2 linked regions of the Styela clava genome follow. The protein of the gene in region 1 purifies or fractionates together with the protein of each later gene. This does not show direct contact. Links are inferred from orthologs where the notes say so. Each region holds a gene or a part of one and is shown in the gene's direction. Other genes may lie near its edges.

Evidence for each region.
Region 2: the proteins of protein-lysine N-methyltransferase EEF2KMT-like (region 1) and elongation factor 2-like purify together in Homo sapiens (affinity purification with mass spectrometry; 3 studies listed by BioGRID and IntAct, counting the BioPlex papers as one, with this or other methods). This does not show direct contact. The link is inferred for Styela clava from reciprocal best matches to the Homo sapiens genes EEF2KMT and EEF2.

The regions. Positions count from the first base shown.
Region 1 is NC_135261.1:17,577,118-17,586,413, forward strand, and holds protein-lysine N-methyltransferase EEF2KMT-like, read left to right. Parts: upstream 1-6,078; 5' UTR 6,079-6,113; coding exon 6,114-7,181; 3' UTR 7,182-7,754; downstream 7,755-9,296. Other genes in the region: decapping and exoribonuclease protein-like, read left to right, coding at 1,518-2,699; serine/threonine-protein kinase ULK4-like, read left to right, coding at 7,786-7,923, 8,902-9,001. UniProt on the Homo sapiens protein: Catalyzes the trimethylation of eukaryotic elongation factor 2 (EEF2) on 'Lys-525'.
Region 2 is NC_135257.1:16,651,618-16,661,960, reverse strand, and holds the start of elongation factor 2-like, read left to right. Parts: upstream 1-6,008; 5' UTR 6,009-6,157; coding exon 6,158-6,160; intron 6,161-7,382; coding exon 7,383-7,597; intron 7,598-9,568; coding exon 9,569-9,750; intron 9,751-9,881; coding exon 9,882-10,096; intron 10,097-10,343. Other genes in the region: uncharacterized protein LOC144411684, read right to left, coding at 1-51, 446-590, 669-824. UniProt on the Homo sapiens protein: Catalyzes the GTP-dependent ribosomal translocation step during translation elongation.

The DNA.
Region 1 (9,296 bases):
CAATGTGCTTTCGAGTGCTGAACCGGTCGTAGGGCCTTCCCACTCAATTGATTGTTCCTCTATTTTGTTTTGTAATCTGCATTCTATCAGTTCTATAGTCAAGTATATCGTGTAATATTCCATGTGCACAACTAACTTGAATATTTATAGGTCACTCACTTAATCTTGACGCGAGACAGCGCCGTCAGAACACAGAAAAACGCAGGAAGTCGCACGATGATTTTCGAAGCAATAATAATCTGTTAGCACCAAGTCAAGCGTGTCAGCGAATTCAACATCGGGAGAAATTTCCGTAGTTACACGGGGTTGGTTTAATTTATGTTTTTCATACAGACGTCACAATTTCAGGGTGGTACCTATATTTCCTAAATATTGTTGTTTGTTTATACTTAATGCATTATGTACTTGCATGTATGTATTTAATGAAATATTCGGAAATGAAGCATTACAGCATTATCTCTCGCAACTGCAATCTGAATTCTTTTAAACTTCACTCTGGATTTACTTGTATAGTCTACCGGTATGTGTTTAGGTTAGTTATCAATTTATTTTACCTATTCACAGCTTATACCTGTATACTGTTATAACAGATAATGCTCCTTCAATTATGGAGAATATAGATGTTTATTCTTTAATTCCTCAAGAGTCTACATTTGAGGTTGTGCTGCGATATATGCTGTATGTTGGTGGAATATTTCAGCTACTTTGCATACTTGCTGTAATTTTTATTAATGACGATGAACCATCAAATAACATGACAGTTGATGAAAGAGATATGCCTTCCTCTCATCAACAAATGAACGTCAAATCAAATATCACAAAAGTTAAACGAAAAAGATTGGAAACAAAGAAGCGAAGATAATCCTGATCAAACAGATACTTAAGGGATTTATATGGCTGACTTATAGAAAATAAAAAACCAAGGAGAATTAAAGATATACTTCTTCATATGTGACAAATTTATAGAACTGGTGCAGCGAACATAAAAAGAAGATAAATGATTTAAAGTGAATCAGATACAATTGACCAACTGATTGCGGTTTATTCTACATATACCAGTATACCGGGTACTTAATAACTTGTTTTGTAATTATATCCAGCCGAATTGTTATGTTTTGATCATACATTGTATATGTAACAATTTTTCCCATGATTCATGATCTGACTTCAATTCTAGAATTTTACAATATATTGTAAATCAGTATTGTGCTATTTTTTCATTCTTGCCATAAATTTATCTATGCTTGTATTGAATTTCCTGTTCAATTTTATTTGAATGATGTAATTCAGCATTTGGCATTTACGATGGTGTTTTTTTTTTACTGCAAAAATTTAGTAGTTTATTAGACTTGGAAATTCAGCTAATGTTTTATATGCTAATTTATACTCAGCCAAACAATCTTACAGTGGAGATTTTTATGCTCCATCGGCCATGTTGTTTTCAAGTGACCATGTCTAATTTTCATATTTACAACTTAGAAAATTATCCTTAAATATTATTTTCATCCAATATTGGAATGTCAAAGGATTCAGAATTCAAAACTCTAGATATTAGTGGATATTCATCCCATTCAAAAAAACCTAAACATGTAACATTCTCAAAACCTGTGGAAATTGGAGTGTTCTCAATTGATGGCCAACGCAAATTTTGCAATAATCTCAGCCAGATGTCTTATGTTGAAGATACTTCGAGATGGTGTAAAAATATGGATCTAAATGATGGTTACAAAGACCGATTTGTGAAAAGAGATGAAAATGTAAAAGAGCGACTTGACAATCTGTTGAGATGGGTGGTTTCCAACCTTCATCGTTTCAAAAATGGCAATACAACTAAAGAAAGTAAAAGTTCTTCATTGGCTGCTTTACCAGATTTTATATTGTGGAGAGGGCATATGACAAAAATTATGTGCACGCCTTATGAATACCAAGAAGGCTGGGAGATGGCTGCACAAAAACTAGGTTCAACAATTTATATCAGCGAAGTTGAAACTCTGCAAGCAGAAAAAAGACGTTCGAACAGCACTGACAGAGAAAAGTTGATGACCTATTGGGGTGTTCGTTTCGAAAAGTACATGACCCGACCAGATCCTCCACATAATAGAAATGAAGCAAAATGTCCACGATTAGTACCCATCGATCAGTCGAAGATTGTGGTAAACACGAATGAGGCTTATTGTACAGTAATGAATGTGCAATTGAATTCTCATAAAATTATTCATAGTGCTGAAGTGGACTGCTGCCAAAATCCTTCTGAGGGTTTAACACCGCCAGATAATTATATTGAGTTGAAAACCAGCAGAGAGTTTTCTACTCAAAAACATGAAGACAATTTTCATAGGTACAAAACAAAAAAATGGTGGGCACAGTCATTTCTAGCTGGTGTGCCCCAGATTACATGTGGTTTCAGGGATGACAATGGCGTTATAGTTAGTATTCGTCATTTCAAAACATTGGATTTACCGAGGATGGCACGGCAAGTTCCTCACGGTGCTTGGGATGCAAATGTCTGTCTTGACTTTTTGAACAATTTTTTTGATTTTGTTAAAAATGTTTATAGTGGTGTACAAGAAGATGAAAAATGTGTATTTCTATTTTCTTGGAGGGCCAAGGGGGATAAAGTTATATGTACACGTTACAATTTGCCAACAAAACACGAGTTTTTGCCTGAATGGTACAAGATCTCATTAAGTTATCTATAAAACTTCGTATATGAGCAAACTCGCACCCCACTTCCTGTTAAAATGTTCTATTTTACTGAATTCAGTAGAAACATAATGCTTTGATCAATTTTTATTTATAATTACTTGTACTGATTAGGCAGATTTGATTTAATCTGGACTGTAATTTGGCCATATTCTGGCTTTGGTGAGTGAAGCGGTTTAGCCCACCTCTTCATGCACCCAACTTGGCAATTCTGATTGGGCAATTTGGCATTAGGAGACTTCAACTATGATAAGCTTAGTGATATCTTTTTAGAAATATTTCTTTATACATTTCACTCCTGTTGAGTGAATCCCTAAAAATGTTTCAATATGGTGTGACAAAATTTTTTATCCTGTTTAATTTTTTACCAAGTAATGTATCTCATGTTATATTATTTTGCTCTCTCACAATTTTATTCAGTCTTCGTGATTAAATACTTTTGGGTGAGCGAACAAGTACCACTTCTTTGGACAACACCTTGCAATTTAAAATCAGTTTTCCTTGTAATCAATTTTACTTATTTTGTTTTTATCAATTATTTTATGGTCTTCTATGCTGATTACAAGGTCGAAAAAAACTGATACTTATATAAAATTACAAATCTAATATTTTTTTTATATTTGTCTGCGTTTTATCTTTGCAGGGAGGCAAGACAAATAGGTAACTAACTAATCCCATACCCGACATGGACTGGTAACCGGACGAGAGGCCGTGATTCGCCCTTTAATTTAGCCATCTTATCGCATTCCTCCCCCGAAGAAAAAAAAACAAGGGAAATATTTACAATCTGAAAAATTTGACACATGTCGATTAGTTTTCGAACAGGGTACTCCCGAAGTATGTGAACCAAGATGGCGGAAACCGGGACGTGGTGTTGGGGTTAGGCCATAATTATATTCCAATTTTCCTTACTTTAGTTCTATTACGAGTTCGGAAACTAGCCAAGTGACTCTCGTAATATTTGTACATGAAATTTACCGCCATCTTGGTTCACATACTTCGGGAGCACCTCGAACAGTGATGTGCAAAAAACGCTTGCGCACCAAACACACTATCGTTAAATTGACAGCGTCAGACGTCTAAACAGAGCAAATTGAAAGTCATTGAAGTGAGCGTGAACAAACTGTCTCTGCCAGAGAATCCGTGTCACGAAACCTTTTGTGGGATAGGATTTTCATGTTTGCCAACTGTCAACTTGAAAAACTTATATCTTGGGAGTTTCAGCGCGATCTAAAACTACTCATGAGTGTAGATTTGTCTCAGATGAGTTGTGACGGAAACTCTGTGACAGTGAAGTACCGTACTATTGACACCTAGCAAAGATATACTAATTATAGAATGAAATACATTTTTCATATAGTGGTCTGCGGAATTTAGCAAAAATAATAAATTCCATATTGGCACTGGATTTCAATTTGCCAAAAAAGGTGCCACCTGAGGCATTACAGAGCTCAGATTTCAAGGGGAATCCCCAAATTTTAGTATGAAAAAGAAAAACAGTTTGACTTTCGATTCATAAATAGTCCAGTTGGATTTTTGCGGGCTTGCGATGGCTTTTATCCAGGATGGAAGAAGCTGATAATTATTAATATTTGATATACATGTTGAATGACAACCATTGGATTGAATCTTCAAATATGATACATGTTCATTGCATAAACTACACATGGTATGGGTAAATAAATCATGTTTCTGTATCGGCTTTTTGTTATAAATAGCTTGGGACTGGTGAAATTTCGGTACTCACGTACCGTAGTATGTGTACCAGTTTAGGGTTAGGCCATAATTTTATTTCGATTTTTCTTATTTTAGTTCTATTACAAGTTCGGGGACTGTCTGTGTCAGTGTGTTAGCGAAGTGAATATCCTCCTGCCCATAGGTTTCAGTCCCTTCACACAACTTGATGTAAAATAAATGGACAAAATTAGTTACCTCCATACTGGTACACATACTTCTAGAGCGCCGAAATTTCTATCAAACTGAGGTATAGGCTTTTTTCTTCTAAAAGTCGCTTGTGAATTTCTCCAAATGCCAGAGTACAAAACCTCATGGGCCATTCCACAAGTGCAGTTTTAAGTATTCTGTGGCATCTGCAACTGCCGCAAAACCATGGCGGTATTTCCATACCATGGCCGTTACGGCCAAACTCATGGCAACTGACTTTTAGCTGCCACAAACCAATGTCGGGCTGCCGTTACCGCGGCAGCAAATTGAAAACCAATGGCAGGTAAAATTTTGCTGCCGTAACCGCGGCAGGTGGGCCGTAAAGACAGGGCTGTCTATTATGGTGACAAATATTGGGCAAGTTGGAACGTTTTTCTTATGGATACAGTTTTGATTGATTTGGGGTTAGGGTTAAGGTTTATAGTATATATAATTCCACATGATCAATTAAAATCTGGTACATTAATTTGTGAATATACCGTTAATACCGATTACTGAATAGCGCTATAAAACCATGGCAAGAGCTGCCGCGGTTCGTTCAAGGCAGGAGCTGCCATGAAGTGGTAAGAACTGTGCCTCCCATTCTAAGCAGAAGTTGAATTCCATCAAGTTTTTAAAAAGTGTAATGAAAGTAATCTTTTTATTTTTGGTATCAAAAGACATTGGTGTGTTATTGGATTGCATTCATTTCATCGAACAATTTAAAATTTCACCCAGGTTTTTGATGGTTTTTAAAAAATGGTCTGAAATGTAGAAATTTTGGTGTAATTGACATATTTTTGTGATGATTCCTGGCACAAAAGGTTTGATTGTGTGTTACAGTTATTTCATATGGAATTGACGCACTGGATTTAAGTTAATTTTAAATGTTTGCAGTGCTGTAGAACATTTCTTCACCCATTTAACGATTTATTACCAGAATTTTAAGAGATGATAGATGCCGCTATTCCGAAGTGGAAAAATGTCATGTAGTGTCACGTCCTGTAGTCTGGTAGTGTCACATACAATATGCACATTATTGGCATGGATTTACAGTGTTACATTAAGTAACTTGAGCAACACATAGAGGGGTAGTTCAGCTACTGCACCAGAAAATATTATGGGCTCCTACTGTACCATCGCAAAAATTTACAGCACAACACAACATACTGCTGTACTGTTAGTGCATGGTGGATTTGCCGTCCTGTAGTGTCACGCTATATTTTACTATATTTTTTTTATCTACTAAGTAAGGTTGGGTGTAACTTTTGTGCAATTTTTTACATATTCAATAAAGCAATTGATTGGACAATGAAACAAAACATGTAGCTGAAAATGTGAAAATATATTGAATCTAACAACTTGCAAAATTTCTGGAATTGTCCCGTAGTGTCACTTGGAATAGCCCATACAGACATACTAAGCATAACTGACCATCTTTGTTTGTGTTTACAGATTTATCTAATTGAAAAATTATTCATAGTACAATGACCTCTGGTAATGAATTTATAATTGAAGTCGAGACCAGGATTTCAATTCATACAGTGACTATACAATTCCTGTGTGGGGTGGCTATCCGGGAATTGCCATGGCAATTTATTGTTGATTTCGTAGAAGAAGAAAAACAAAATGAAATATTAAACAAAACCATATTTCATCCTTTATGTAAAAAATATTCTGTCGGTGTTCTGTACCAGCGGTCTTTTTGCAAAAAGTTCATCAAAGAGATTGAAGATAGAAATCAAGTTGTTTCTGAAAGTCTATGCCAGCATTATGTATCACTACTCAGTATGGAAAATACACCATATTCATATAAAATATATTATATTCCTGGGATATGTAAATTTGTGCCGATTTTGGAAAGCAGAAATTTATTATCAAATGGAACCACAGGTCTCAATACCTGGCAAGGTGCTAAAGTACTCGCTGAGTGGTGTTTGTGTAACCCTGGTTTAATTAAAAACAAAAAGATTTTAGAGTTGGGATGTGGGGCTGGATTCTCTGGTATAATGACACTGAAAACTTGTCAACCATTGTCATATACATTCACAGACTATCACAGTGAAGTTATGTCATTATTATGCCACAATGTGAAAATGAATTTTGATGCAAAATTTTGTGATTCGTTTACAGAAAAAAATCCAAGCGAAATAGACAATTTGAAGCTTTTTGATATTGATAATATATCCGTAAAATCTTTGGACTGGACTGATTCTGATGATACAGATGCTCTAATAAAGGAAAATGGTCCATTTGATATTGTTTTTGCCGCTGATGTTGTTTTCGATCCCGCAATATTGAATCATCTAGTAAAAACTGTACGTTCAGTCTTAAGGCATTCTACAGCTTTGAATGATCACAATAAAAAAGTTACTGATTATCCCTTTGCCTGTTTTTCTATTACTGTTAGAAACCCATCAACTTTTGAATTATTCTTACATGAGTTAGATAAATATGGTTTAGATTGTATAGAAATGCCATTGAATGTTTTCAAAGTTTTCTATTTTGATGGAAGCTCTGATGTTAAGCTTTTAAAAATTGTATTAAGACTTTAATATATGACATTTGTCATTTATCAAAGTCATTCATAAAAAGAAACACATAATGGTTTTAATACTTATATACTGTACTAATTTAATTGAAACATAGTATTGTATTTGCACATCAATTGGTTGAAAATTTTATCATGTTTTATAACAGGGGTTCTCAAAAACTGGGGTCCGTGTACCCCCAAGAGGTCCGGGAAATTTGAGGGGTTTGTGAAAAATCAGTGAAAATGTTATAAATGAAATGAATGGAAAAATCTTCCTTAATTAAAGAAGAACTGATTTTTTTCCTTGTCGCTTGATTTCACCCATTTTAGCCCTTCAATTTGGGATCTGGCATAAAAGTTCTATTCTCTATTCATTTCTCGTCATGTTTATGCATTTTGTACTGTACTATTGACAAGGGGTTCACACAATTATGGGTCCATGTTAAAAATAGTTTGAGAGCCCCTGTTTTATAAGTTTTCACAGTGGTAACTATTTTTTATTCTTTTGATAAAATGCGAGGAGTTACTATAGTTTGGAAGGGCCAGGATTTTTTTTTGTTTTGTTCCAATGATTATGCTGGAATTCTATTTCTAGCCCTAATTAAATAAGCATAATCATAACAAAAATGGAAAATTTCATTCTCTATGAAGAAATAGGAAAAGGTTCTCACTCTGTTGTATATAAAGGGCGAAGAAAAGGAACAATAAATTTTTTGGCAATTCTCTGTATAGAAAAGTGCAAAAGAGGAGCCATCACGAATTGGGTAAGATTTGATGAATTAATAATCAATGTCATTTTAGTTTTAGCTAAGGGGTGCTTATAAATCTGATAGGCCTTGTTGGATGTAGAACATATATTGGTACTGGTCAATAAATAATGTTTTACAATCACAAATTGTTGTTCTTAAAATTCCAAATCCTGGTATTATTAACATAATCACTCTATATCTTTCCACCCAATTTAGCTCTTTCGTATGCAAAAAACAATTTCTTATTTAAATTAGTGTTTTTTTTCATGATGCTCATTTACTTCCAACAAGGAGGCCCAATCTAATCATGAAGGGACTACTTTTTGAATAACCAGAATATTTCGGTTTTGCATTGTCAACCCAATTTCTTATATCATGAGCGAGGTTAAGTCTACTCTAGTGCGCACCTACCGTAATTCCTCATACCAGTGCTTCTCAATCTTTTTAATCCGCACCTCCTTTTTAGAATTTGTCAAGTCTCGTTTCCCGCCTCAAAATTTGTCAAGTCTCGCTCTCCACCTCAAAAATAACTAGCTAACAATAGGCTACAAATAGCAGATAGTAAGGCGGTAGTATGTTTTATTCAAAAAACACTTCATCGTACAATGATGGAATGTAATTATCCGAAATAGGGAGGATATAAGATCAAATCTAACGAAGGTTTTTATTTTTAATTAGCTTTACGACCTCTCAAAATATTGTCTATACCCACTTTGTTGGAAGGACCCCATTGTTTGAGAACCACTGCTTATGACCATTGTGCCCAATATCTTGATCAATTTTAATAAAATTATACATTGATGATTCTAAAAACTTTATTTATATGTTGGGAAGTGGAATCCTGGTTCTCTGACCTTCTATTCTTAGTTATACAGAGTCTAGCCATTCGGGAGCATCTCAAGAAAAATCCTTGTCCAACGACTCACAAATATATTGTTTGTTATCTAAATATAGAGATAATTCTATTTTATACTGAAATGACATTGATTTCAGGTTCGTCTTACGCATGAACTTGAGCATGAACATATTGTGAAATTCTATGAATGGTACGAAACAAGCAATCATCTATGGATGGTAGTTGAATTATGTACAGGTATGTATGGCACTTTGTGCAGTGATGCTATATATTTGGTGACAGCCAAATGGTAATTTTTAAACCTTTTATAGATGGTTTTCTATGATTATGTACTTTTGCTTGTAGGATCTCCCATCGATAATCTTCTTTCTTGAGGTTAAAATATTTACGGTATCTATATTTACAAAAAATCCACCATCTTCCGATTCTGCATTGCATGTTCAACTCAAGATTTTTGCACCCGTTCTCTTTTTGAAGTTTTTCTTCAGCTTTGGCTATATTATAGTCAATTTTCATTACACATTTAGATAGT
Region 2 (10,343 bases), on another chromosome or scaffold:
ATTCAGGTAGCGGGGTAAATGATCTTTTCGTTCTTGTATGAGATTGCTGACCTATTTGGTATAAACCATTGGATTACTAAATTAAAAAAAAAAGTTCAATGCGACTCTCTACTACGAGATATTCCAAAAGTTGCCTCCAGAATCAGATTTACAAATTTCTGTTGAAATTTTATGTTCGCTTTTATATTTTCGAATGCTTAAACTTGAGATTTTGACTTTTGAAACTTTGACACCGGATCCAACTTTGAGATTTGGTATAAATTTTAGTGTAAAATATTACTAATGTCATTTATTATTAAAGAATAAAACATTTGGTACTATCTCTAAATAAAGTATGCCAATATCAAGATGTCTAGGTGACCTCGAAATGCTGTCATAATAAGGCAGTTGTGATATGTAGTTTTCTTATCATTTCAAGTATGATATAAATTTATAATGATTTTACTTGTATTCGACGGCCATCTGTTGTTATCAGATAACGGGCAACTGGGTAGTATTCCTCTTTGCATGTTCTGTATTGCTCTTGCACATGGTTTGAGTCTTCGTAGCTCATTGTATTTTCTGCATAAAGCCATAGTTAATGGCACATTCTGAAAAAAAAAAGTATTTTAAAAATGAAATTGTTGTCAGAATAGAGATTTTTGTGAATTGTTTTCAATGAAACTCACCAAAAATTCTTTTTTTCTAAAAAGCTTCTGGTCATATGGAGGTGGGTGCACTGGAACTTTAGTGCCTGGATAATAGTAAGGTGTTGATGGGCTGGGGGGATTGAAGTGATATATCTTGTTCCCCGATGCCAATCCTACAGTAAAGCAGAGAAACATCAAAATCCGTAACATCTGAAATTAAAAAAAAAATTATTCAGCATGTTTTTTTTTTATACATCGCTTCATTATTCCGTTAGTTCCGAAGAAGCCACTGTACAAACATCTACCGGTATGTTGAGCTACTATTTTTGGAGGAAGCGAAATATTTATGGCTTGGCATTGGCTTTTTATGACATAAGTGAGGTGCCGAGGGGAGAACTTAAAATCTGAGATGTGTAGCCTTCGATGTCAGCAAGTTAAGTTTAACGCTTATACTGCTAGACCATCAGGCCCACTAAGTTTGTAGCAAATTAGATTTATTAATTAACGCTGTTGAAAGTTGAAGAATTCTGGTTGGTTTGAATCACATTATCCCAGTTCATATGGATATTGTAAAGAAATAAATTATCAGACAGGCGTTTTTTATGGTTAATTTTTAAATTCTATTAAGTTGTATGATTTCCATTTCTTTCTTTGTTAGCCTGAATCACATTAATATTTCAACAACGAAAAAATTGACCTACGCCATACTCACCGTGATCCAATCTTGTCTCATTATCATAGATCTCTTTTAAATAACCAAATGAATTTGCTTCTGTTGAATTCTAATTTATTGACTAGTTCAGGTTATATTTATATAACTCTTGATCTTATCAGTATCTCGATTTTATTCTAATTTTTTTTCCAAATTGGAATTTGTTCATGAAAATTTTTAGGTACTTCCACGTTCAAAAATATGCTAAATCTGAAAAAGGTTCTTTCTTGTTTTCGATTCGGTATGCTATTTATAACTTGCCCCGTGCATTTTTATATTAGCAATATTGCCGTGTCATACTGCATATTAGTCTTGCTGCGGGTTTTTATCCTCTTCACTAAAGAGCTAACCTGTACCATTTGATTGAATTAAGAGTATTCAAGACATAATCACACATTTATAAAATCTTTTTGGACACGTTAGTGGACATAACGATCGTTTCAATATTATGTTGTTGTTCTCTGACACTTTTTGGACACCTAGTGGAAAACCTAAAAAGTCGCTTTTCTCTTTGATTACTGAACCAATTGTTTTGAAATTTTTAGTGGTTAAAGATGAAATTTTTCTTCAGAAGGCTATTACTTTTATTTATTCTAAATATTTCTGTTAGCTCTGTGAGATTTGTTTTTGTTTGCTATGAAGTCACCGAACGTTCTGCGGACGCATATGCTGGCACTCCTCTTCATGTTCTTTTGATCACGTACCATCGAACGTCGGTGGTTCGTAACGAAATCATTGCTTTGCTAATATTTGAGGAAAGGTGAATGGCGAATAGTGCCGTACTTGGTGTTATATAACAGTAGTGACTCGTATCGTTGGTGTTACTACAGTCTCGGACCAGCTTGCAATTTCAATTCACGCTGTCACAAGACAGGAACTTTTAAAGATAGAGCAGTTCCGGTACCGTAACACAGCGCGGTGATACTGAACTAACTCGTAACTGTCTCGTAAAAGCGTGGCTTGCAGTCACTGTTATACCTGAAGTCTTTGAATGTTGGTGCTTTTCTTGGGATGGTAAACGTGTTCATATATTTGAGCATAGCTCGCTTGTTCTGAACAACGATCAGTTTTGATTCGAAGTACTCATCTTCCTTGTTAAACGGCTCATTTAATTATTATATAGCTGGTAACCCATGGTTAATTTCCCTCACATAAAAGGCTTGGCTAACGATTCAATTCTATGTTAATAGTTTGTAACTGGTGTCTCCTGCGTGTTATTCCCTCAAGTTAATACTGAAGGCAAAGTCTGATATTGTTTTGCTCAAATCTTGATGTTGTCGGGGTGACTGTGGTTGTTCGAAATATTAACTTTTTTTTGCAACTAGTTGGCTAATCAATTTCAAATCTTCAGAACTTTGTAAAAAGAAAGAAGTTGCTGGTTCAGGAGTCGGCAACCTTTTGTCGCTCGCGTGCCAAAATTAAGGGTTGCAAGTCTTGGCGGGCCGCATAATTTTTCGAAAGTTAACAAGAACGGATGGCTGACTTAGTCCTCTTACTTGAAGAAAAAAATTTACAAATGACATTTAATATCACTCTTTTTTTCTGGCGGCACACTGGATGAAGCCAGGATTAAAACAATTTCTGAATGGGAATCATTAATCCGAGTTCTCAGCTTGTTCTTTGTAATGTTCATTTTCGAAAATAATTTTTTGCACGCATATGTACTTCTAAACATCGATGTGGACTTTTGTCAAATTTGGATAGTTAGAAAGTTAGATTCAGAAAGTTTCATTCACCCTTTGCACTTGCATCGAATATGAAGAATATGATATTATAAAAAATATAATCGTCAAAATAGCCGTTTTGTTACTATAATTCAGTGAAGCATCGCTGGCCGGATTATTTTACTCCACGCTGGATCTGGCCCGCGGGACATAATTTGCCGCCCCCTGCTATACTGGGACGGTATGTTAGTCGTTGACTGGAACTGATTATTTCACCCTAATTTTGGCCCCAACTATTCTGACATGCTCGATCGCGTGAACTTGTTCGCCAACATCTTTTCAGCAAACTCGATGTTTTCAGCCTTTGCGGTACCAGTATCGATGCGCAACCATCATCTCTTTATTTGAGCATAGTTTTCTTTTTTTCATATGTATTAGCGAGAATACAGGTCTCTTGCATGCTTGCATCTGTCACGGACGAAGATGTTGCTACCGTGGTTGTAGATGAATCAAAGACTCAAGGGTTCCGGATTGGTTGTTTATTGTACGGCAACTTCAGAATATCAAACTTGAAACATATAAACTGATTACATCACTAAAGAACTAAAAACACGACCGACCTCCAGCCCGAAGAACGGAGAAAAGAGAGCGAATGACATAGTTTTCCTCTCACGTGTAGTGATTAGTCGGAGTCCAGATCCGACAAAACAGCATTGAATAAGGGTCAATACAACATGAAATATATATATACACAATATAAACGCGGACGTTATGGTCCGCGACACATCTCATGTACACATGAATCTTCCGCAATCATATTTTTATTACGGTAATTGTAACAAATTAGGCTATTTAATTATTTATTTAATGTGTTTTCAACGCAATAAGCTATCTACAACAATACTACATATTGCATAATATGGTACTCGCAGTATGTGTACCAGGTTAGGGTTAGGTCATAATTTCAGGTACAAATACTACGGGAGTCACTTGGCTAGTCCCCAAACTCGTGATAGAACTAAAATTGGAATGAAATTATGACCTACCTAACCCTAATCTGGTACACATACTACGTCCCGGTGTCCGCCATCTTGGTTCTTATACTTCGGAAGTACCCTTTGATGAACCATGGGCGAGCATATCAGTTCCCAATGTCTAAGATAATATTGACGGATCCAAGCATGGTTTAGTTTTAATATTGTTACATTCTTTTGTGCAAATAAATCTGCATTATAAAAAATGTAAGCGCAAGATTAGTGGGACTAAAGCTCTAAGTGTAAAGAAAATGTTGACGGAATAGTATCTAATCTGTTGTCCGCGGGTATAATTTGTTGACGTCAGCATAGTTCTTCCCTCCCCATTCAGTCTCTGATGTTTCGAATTTTACAAGACTTCCCACTAAAAAGTTGTTGAAAATACAAGAGATTGGTGCGCTTTATGCTCATTTGAAAATTGATTCAATATCATAGCCAATGGAAACGAATAAAAAACGCAGGTTTAACACTCAACTTTGACATCTTTGTCTGTTTGGGAAAAGTGTGTGCAGATTCTCGAGTCAATACCTAATTGCGTTGTACAATCAAAGCGTTTGATTCAGCGACGCGCAGTGGCGTGTCCAGGTCAGACCAAATTTGGATAGAATTTACACATTTATCCCGTGTGAGAAGAAAGCCGATATGGCGAATCATGGCCTCTCGTCCGGTTACCATTCCATGTCGAGTATGGGATTAGTTAGTTATTCGTTTTCGGAAGCATGGACTTGATAAAAGAGGATGCCGTAATCGACCAGTGGTTACGTGAACCACCCTATTATAATTACTTTTGGTGATTAGTAGTATTTAATTTAATCTAGAATCTAATCTGGCTATATTCTAGCTATGGTGAATGAAGTGATCTAGTCTAGAGTCTAGTCCACCTTTTCATGCATCCAACTTGGCAATTCCTTTCGGGAATTTGGCGTTAGGAGACTCCAACTATAATCAACTTGGCGATATCGTTTTAGGAACATTGTTTTATACATTTCATTCCTGTTAACCAATTCGGTATCCAATTTCAAAATTCATACAAATCTATCAATATGGTTGGGCGAAATTTATTTTATTTGTATAAATATATTCTTTTTTACCAAGTAATATATTTTTTTTACTCTTTTTCCTAGTTTTTTTTTGTCTACTTGATTTAATACGTGAACAGACTGCCATTCCGGCTAAACTTTACTAACTAAAATAGGTCTTTCTTTAGCGCCAAACACGGTATGTTGTGGTCCCGGTATTCTGTTATCCTATAATAATAAGAAACACGAGCAGTTGGAGCGCATATTTCACAGACCACAACGCGTTGGCAGAATGGCATGGTATGGTGAGAAAGATGCCAGCAGAAACACCACGACCATGAAAATTTCAATGAACGATTATCAAAAATCTTGACTGTGTCTATCATGATAAAAATATCAAAAAGTATATAAAATATATTCTATCCCCAAAACTGCATACGTCTACAATGAAAGATAACTAGAAAATTACAAAAAATGCAAATTTTTGCTCTGGTGATCACATTCCCCATGAGAGCTAATGTTAAAATCGTTTTTGGTTCGTTTTTTGTTCATGCCACTTTCGTTTTTCGCGCGTTGGATGGTTTTCGAATTAATAAGGTCTAATAACCTGATACTTTTGGGTGAGCGAACACGTACCACTTATTTTGGCATCACCTTTTAATCTGAAATATGTACGTTTTATTTAAACCATGCTCAAGGGTTTGTTCGTTTTTCCGATTCTGTAATCAGTTTATTTATTTTGTTTTTATCAATTATTTCATCGCCTTTATGCTGATTTATGAAGTCAAAATAAACTTATACTCATATATGGGGATATTCCAGAATGAGAATTTTTTTTGCTTCATTATTATTATTATCATTTTACTTATTATATCATGACTGTTTGATCTGATCGACAAATAATATCTCTTCCTCTCTTATTTCATCCGTGTAGGGACGCAATAATTACTGTTGGATTTCGCAATATTGTTTCGTGGTGCTATGACGTAATAGGTTGGCGTTACAGCTTTGTCATTTCATAACGTTCCTTTCCCAAGCCCTTCAGTTCGAGGGTTGATTTTTTTACGCGGAGTGAAGAAACGAAGTCAAAACATCCAAAATGGTGAGTTTATCTTCCCTTTTTTATGTAATTTTGAGCTATCATGTGTCTGTCGATATATTTCGCGCAATATGAACGAATAATATGGCTTGTTGAGCGTGATTTAAGTGGATATAACTCTTGCGAAGGTAGCCTATAACCTGAACGGGAAGAACCCACTTTTCAATTTAGACAGAAAAATCTGACATCCAGTCTATGTAGCGATCTACGTATTTTTTATTTATTTTGTAAATGCCAGTCCTTTGCTATATTATGTAAAAACAGGGTAGATATCTAAATCTTCAATCAGTCAGTGGCAATGGTGACTGGTAACAAAATAATAAAGATTGTTTTATATGATTCAACACCATTTGAGGTTGGAGGTTGACTCTCCGATATTGACACTGAAATGTCATACTTCAATATAATAGTATTAGTAATTTGGGCTCAGCAGTGTGGCGCATCGCGGTCTTACTACTTACTGAATAGAGAGCGAAACAGCGCAGAAGAGAGGGAAAGAGCGCAAAACAGCGCAGAAGAGATGGAAACTTTTTTCTTTCATTATTTATTAGCGTCTATGAAATTTTAAACAATTTGATGGGAGGCAACATACAGTAGTAGGGAATGATCACAAGTTTACACAGTATGTGTACCAGGTTAGGGTGCGTCATGAAGTATGTGCACCAAGATGGCGCACAACCTGAACACAGTATGTGTACCAGGTTAGGGTGCATCATGTTTGGTTATTTAAAGATGTTGAAGATTACTGACATAAACTCGTGATCATTCCCTACCACTGTATACCGTTTCCCATCAAATTGTTTAAAATTTCACGGATGCTAATAAATAATGAAAGTAAAATGTTTCTATCCATTCTGCGCTGTTTCGTGTTCTATTCAGTAAGTAGTAAGACCCGGCGCATCGTGCTACTGTGCTAAGCGTTGGGAATACACTCACCCAGTCATCACCACCAGACCACCCCTCTGATACCCTTTGTGGGTTTGGCGGTTTAAATCCTGGGAGGATAAAATGTGCAAGAGGATTGCTGGACGCCTCGCCGTCTTAGGGTAGTATATGTATGTGTATTTTTACCTTTGTGAGTGTCTTTTTTAATATAAACTGTCGGATTAGGATTATATACTTGATTTGGAAAAATCAGGTTGTTCAAAAGGGCTCACTAAATAGCTTGGTGGCCTGTTGCACGCTTTTGCTGTAGACTGATGTTAAACATAATTTTTATTTTTAGGTGAACTTCACAGTCGATCAGATCCGTGAGATCATGGACAAAAAAGCCAATATTCGGAACATGTCTGTTATTGCTCATGTAGATCATGGTAAATCTACATTAACAGACTCCCTTGTTAGCAAAGCTGGTATCATTGCTGGTGCGAAAGCTGGAGAAACTCGTTTTACAGATACGAGAAAGGATGAGCAGGAGAGATGCATTACAATCAAGTCAACGTAAGTGAGCTTTAAAACAAATACATTTCTCAATATACAGTAGGGCACAATTCCAAGATCCATGAAAAAAATTAGTCCTGCAAATGACTGGATGATAAGTCAATCATGACATATGTTGGCTGTCACATGACCAAAATTTCCATTCCTCCAGACTGATTTTTGCTAAAAAAATTCAAATACTGTAAATTTTTTTTGCCTTGCGTAAATTCAGATTATTTTTTTGGGGGGAATCCATGGGAATGTTTCTAGATTGTGCGTCCTTAATAGTTTATTAGGCAGTACCGGTTTGGTGTTATGGAGACTTAGATTGTGTGTCCTTATTACAGTACGGCACACTATACAAATCGGGTGACATTTTCCCGTTTCAGAGAAACCATTTTACAGATGATCAGACACCCCTCCTTTGGGAGACGTCTGGAATTGTTGTCCCTCAATATCAGTAATAATACAGTATAATGAAGTTGCGCAATATACTACAAAAAAGCGCAATCTAGTAACGTCGTCATTGAATTCCTTGGGAAAAAATAATCAGATTTACCGAAGGAAAAAATTTTTACCGTAGCTTTCGGAAGTTTTTAGCAAAAAACAGCAATTTTGGTCATGTGACTGCTGCGATCAATTTATATTATTATTGAGACAAGCATGGCGCGATATGAAGCATCTGCCGAGGTCCCAGACGCCCCGCGTTTGTGAGACACATAGAGTGTTTGTTTTATTGAGCCTAATGGAGGGAAATTCTTAAAATTTGGATAGTGTGCTGTACTGTAATAGTTTATTAGGCAGTACCGGTTTGGTGTTATAAAGACTCCACATCATCTCGGTTTGCATTCATTATTATAATTGATGTCTTTTAACCTGTTTTAGACGCCCAATCGAGCCCAATTTTGAATACCCATTTTTATTAATGTCATACGTGATACGACCCCCAAAATTCACCCAATATACAATAATTATATACCATTGGAAAGGTATTTTAGAGTACTATACGCTAGATGTCACTGGAGGACCGTAAACTAAAACACCTCTTTCAAGAGGTCTCTCGTAACGTCAAAAAATAACAAAAATATTTACACTCTCTCATTCTATCAGCTGTTGGACGTCTATAGCTATTGTAAAGCTGAAATGTGACTATACAGTTGACTGCACATTGGTTTTCTCTTTCATATGATACTAAACGCTTTTCCATAGCGCGCGTCGTTCAATCGTTTTGGAAATTTTCCGTTTGAGAAGTCACCACATCGAATCAGGCCAGGCTAAGCTTGATAGATCGATCGGTTGTTTGATTGTGCTTTATCGCGTTGAAAGCTTTTGTGAGTCATAATAAAACATTTATTATGAATCATAAAAGCTTATAATCGTCAGACAAGGAGAATTTGCGAGATAAAACGCCTAACTTTTTTTCGGTGAGGCAGCTGCGATCAAACGACTCGATATTTTTATAACTTCCTGACGTTGTGAGATGTCCACTCTCCTATGTTATGTAGCATATAAAATGACCTTCAAAATAAGACCTTATCATACTAGCTTTTGTTATTGGTTAGCGCGCAACGCCAAGGTTTATGGAATCATTTTCTTGTTGTGCGACGTTTTTATATCGCAGCGGGAAGTACACGCGTGATATGTAAGCGAAATTTTATCACTTCTAAATGTCATATAAGGTTCATTCTCATATCGTTGTGTGGGGAATAAGATTTCCTTTCAAGCAAGACCATAACAAACATTTCAGACCTCATGGTATACACACAGCATTGCAAAACGTCTGAAACGTCGCGCATGCGTCAGACCGGGAGGATTAGGTTAATATGGTTGTTATTCTTAGAATTGGAGCCATATTGAAATAGATATTATTGAGTAAAAAAAGTTTGGATTTTAAGTATTGGTTACCGGTACATATTGTTGTATACGGTAAGTAAAAATTAAATATTTAATTACATTCATAAAAATAAGCACTGAAATTGATTCTTTTTTCAGTGCAATTTCTCTCTTTTATGAACTGCCTGAAAAGGATATGCAACATATCAAATGTGAAAAAGATGGTAATGGCTTTCTTATCAATTTGATTGATTCACCAGGACATGTTGACTTTTCATCGGAGGTTACAGCTGCTCTGCGCGTTACAGATGGTGCACTGGTTGTGGTTGATTGTGTTAGCGGTAAGTACTGGCTCTATTACTGCTCATGAGCATAAATCATGCAAGAATATTTGCTGCAGATTGTTACCATTCAATTTTTAAGTTGTATTTCATTAGACATGATTTCAATTGCAAATATTTTGTACTATCAGGTGTTTGTGTCCAAACTGAGACCGTACTTCGCCAAGCTATTGCTGAACGTATCAGGCCCATCGTTTTCATGAACAAGATGGACAGAGCTCTTCTGGAACTACAGCTTGATAAAGAAGATCTTTATCAAACATTCAGCCGAATTGTTGAAAACGTCAATGTCATTATTTCAACATATGGTGGTGCCGACGAGAAGACATCTTTCGGAGATATCCAGGTCAAATTACTGATATTTTGGACGGTGCTCTACCTGTTCTTAAGACTTACTGTGTGGGCAACCCATCTGTCGTATACTGTCAAAAAAGAAAGATTCCAGTTCTCCAAATAATAGTAGCAAGTTAGATATCAGTGGCTACTCTTATAGAGCCTTGATTAAAGCGAAATACTCTAAAAAGGGCCATAAATAATCAAAAAATGGATTTCAAGCACATGGTTAGTTGGAAAATCTGGATCTTAATTAAAAA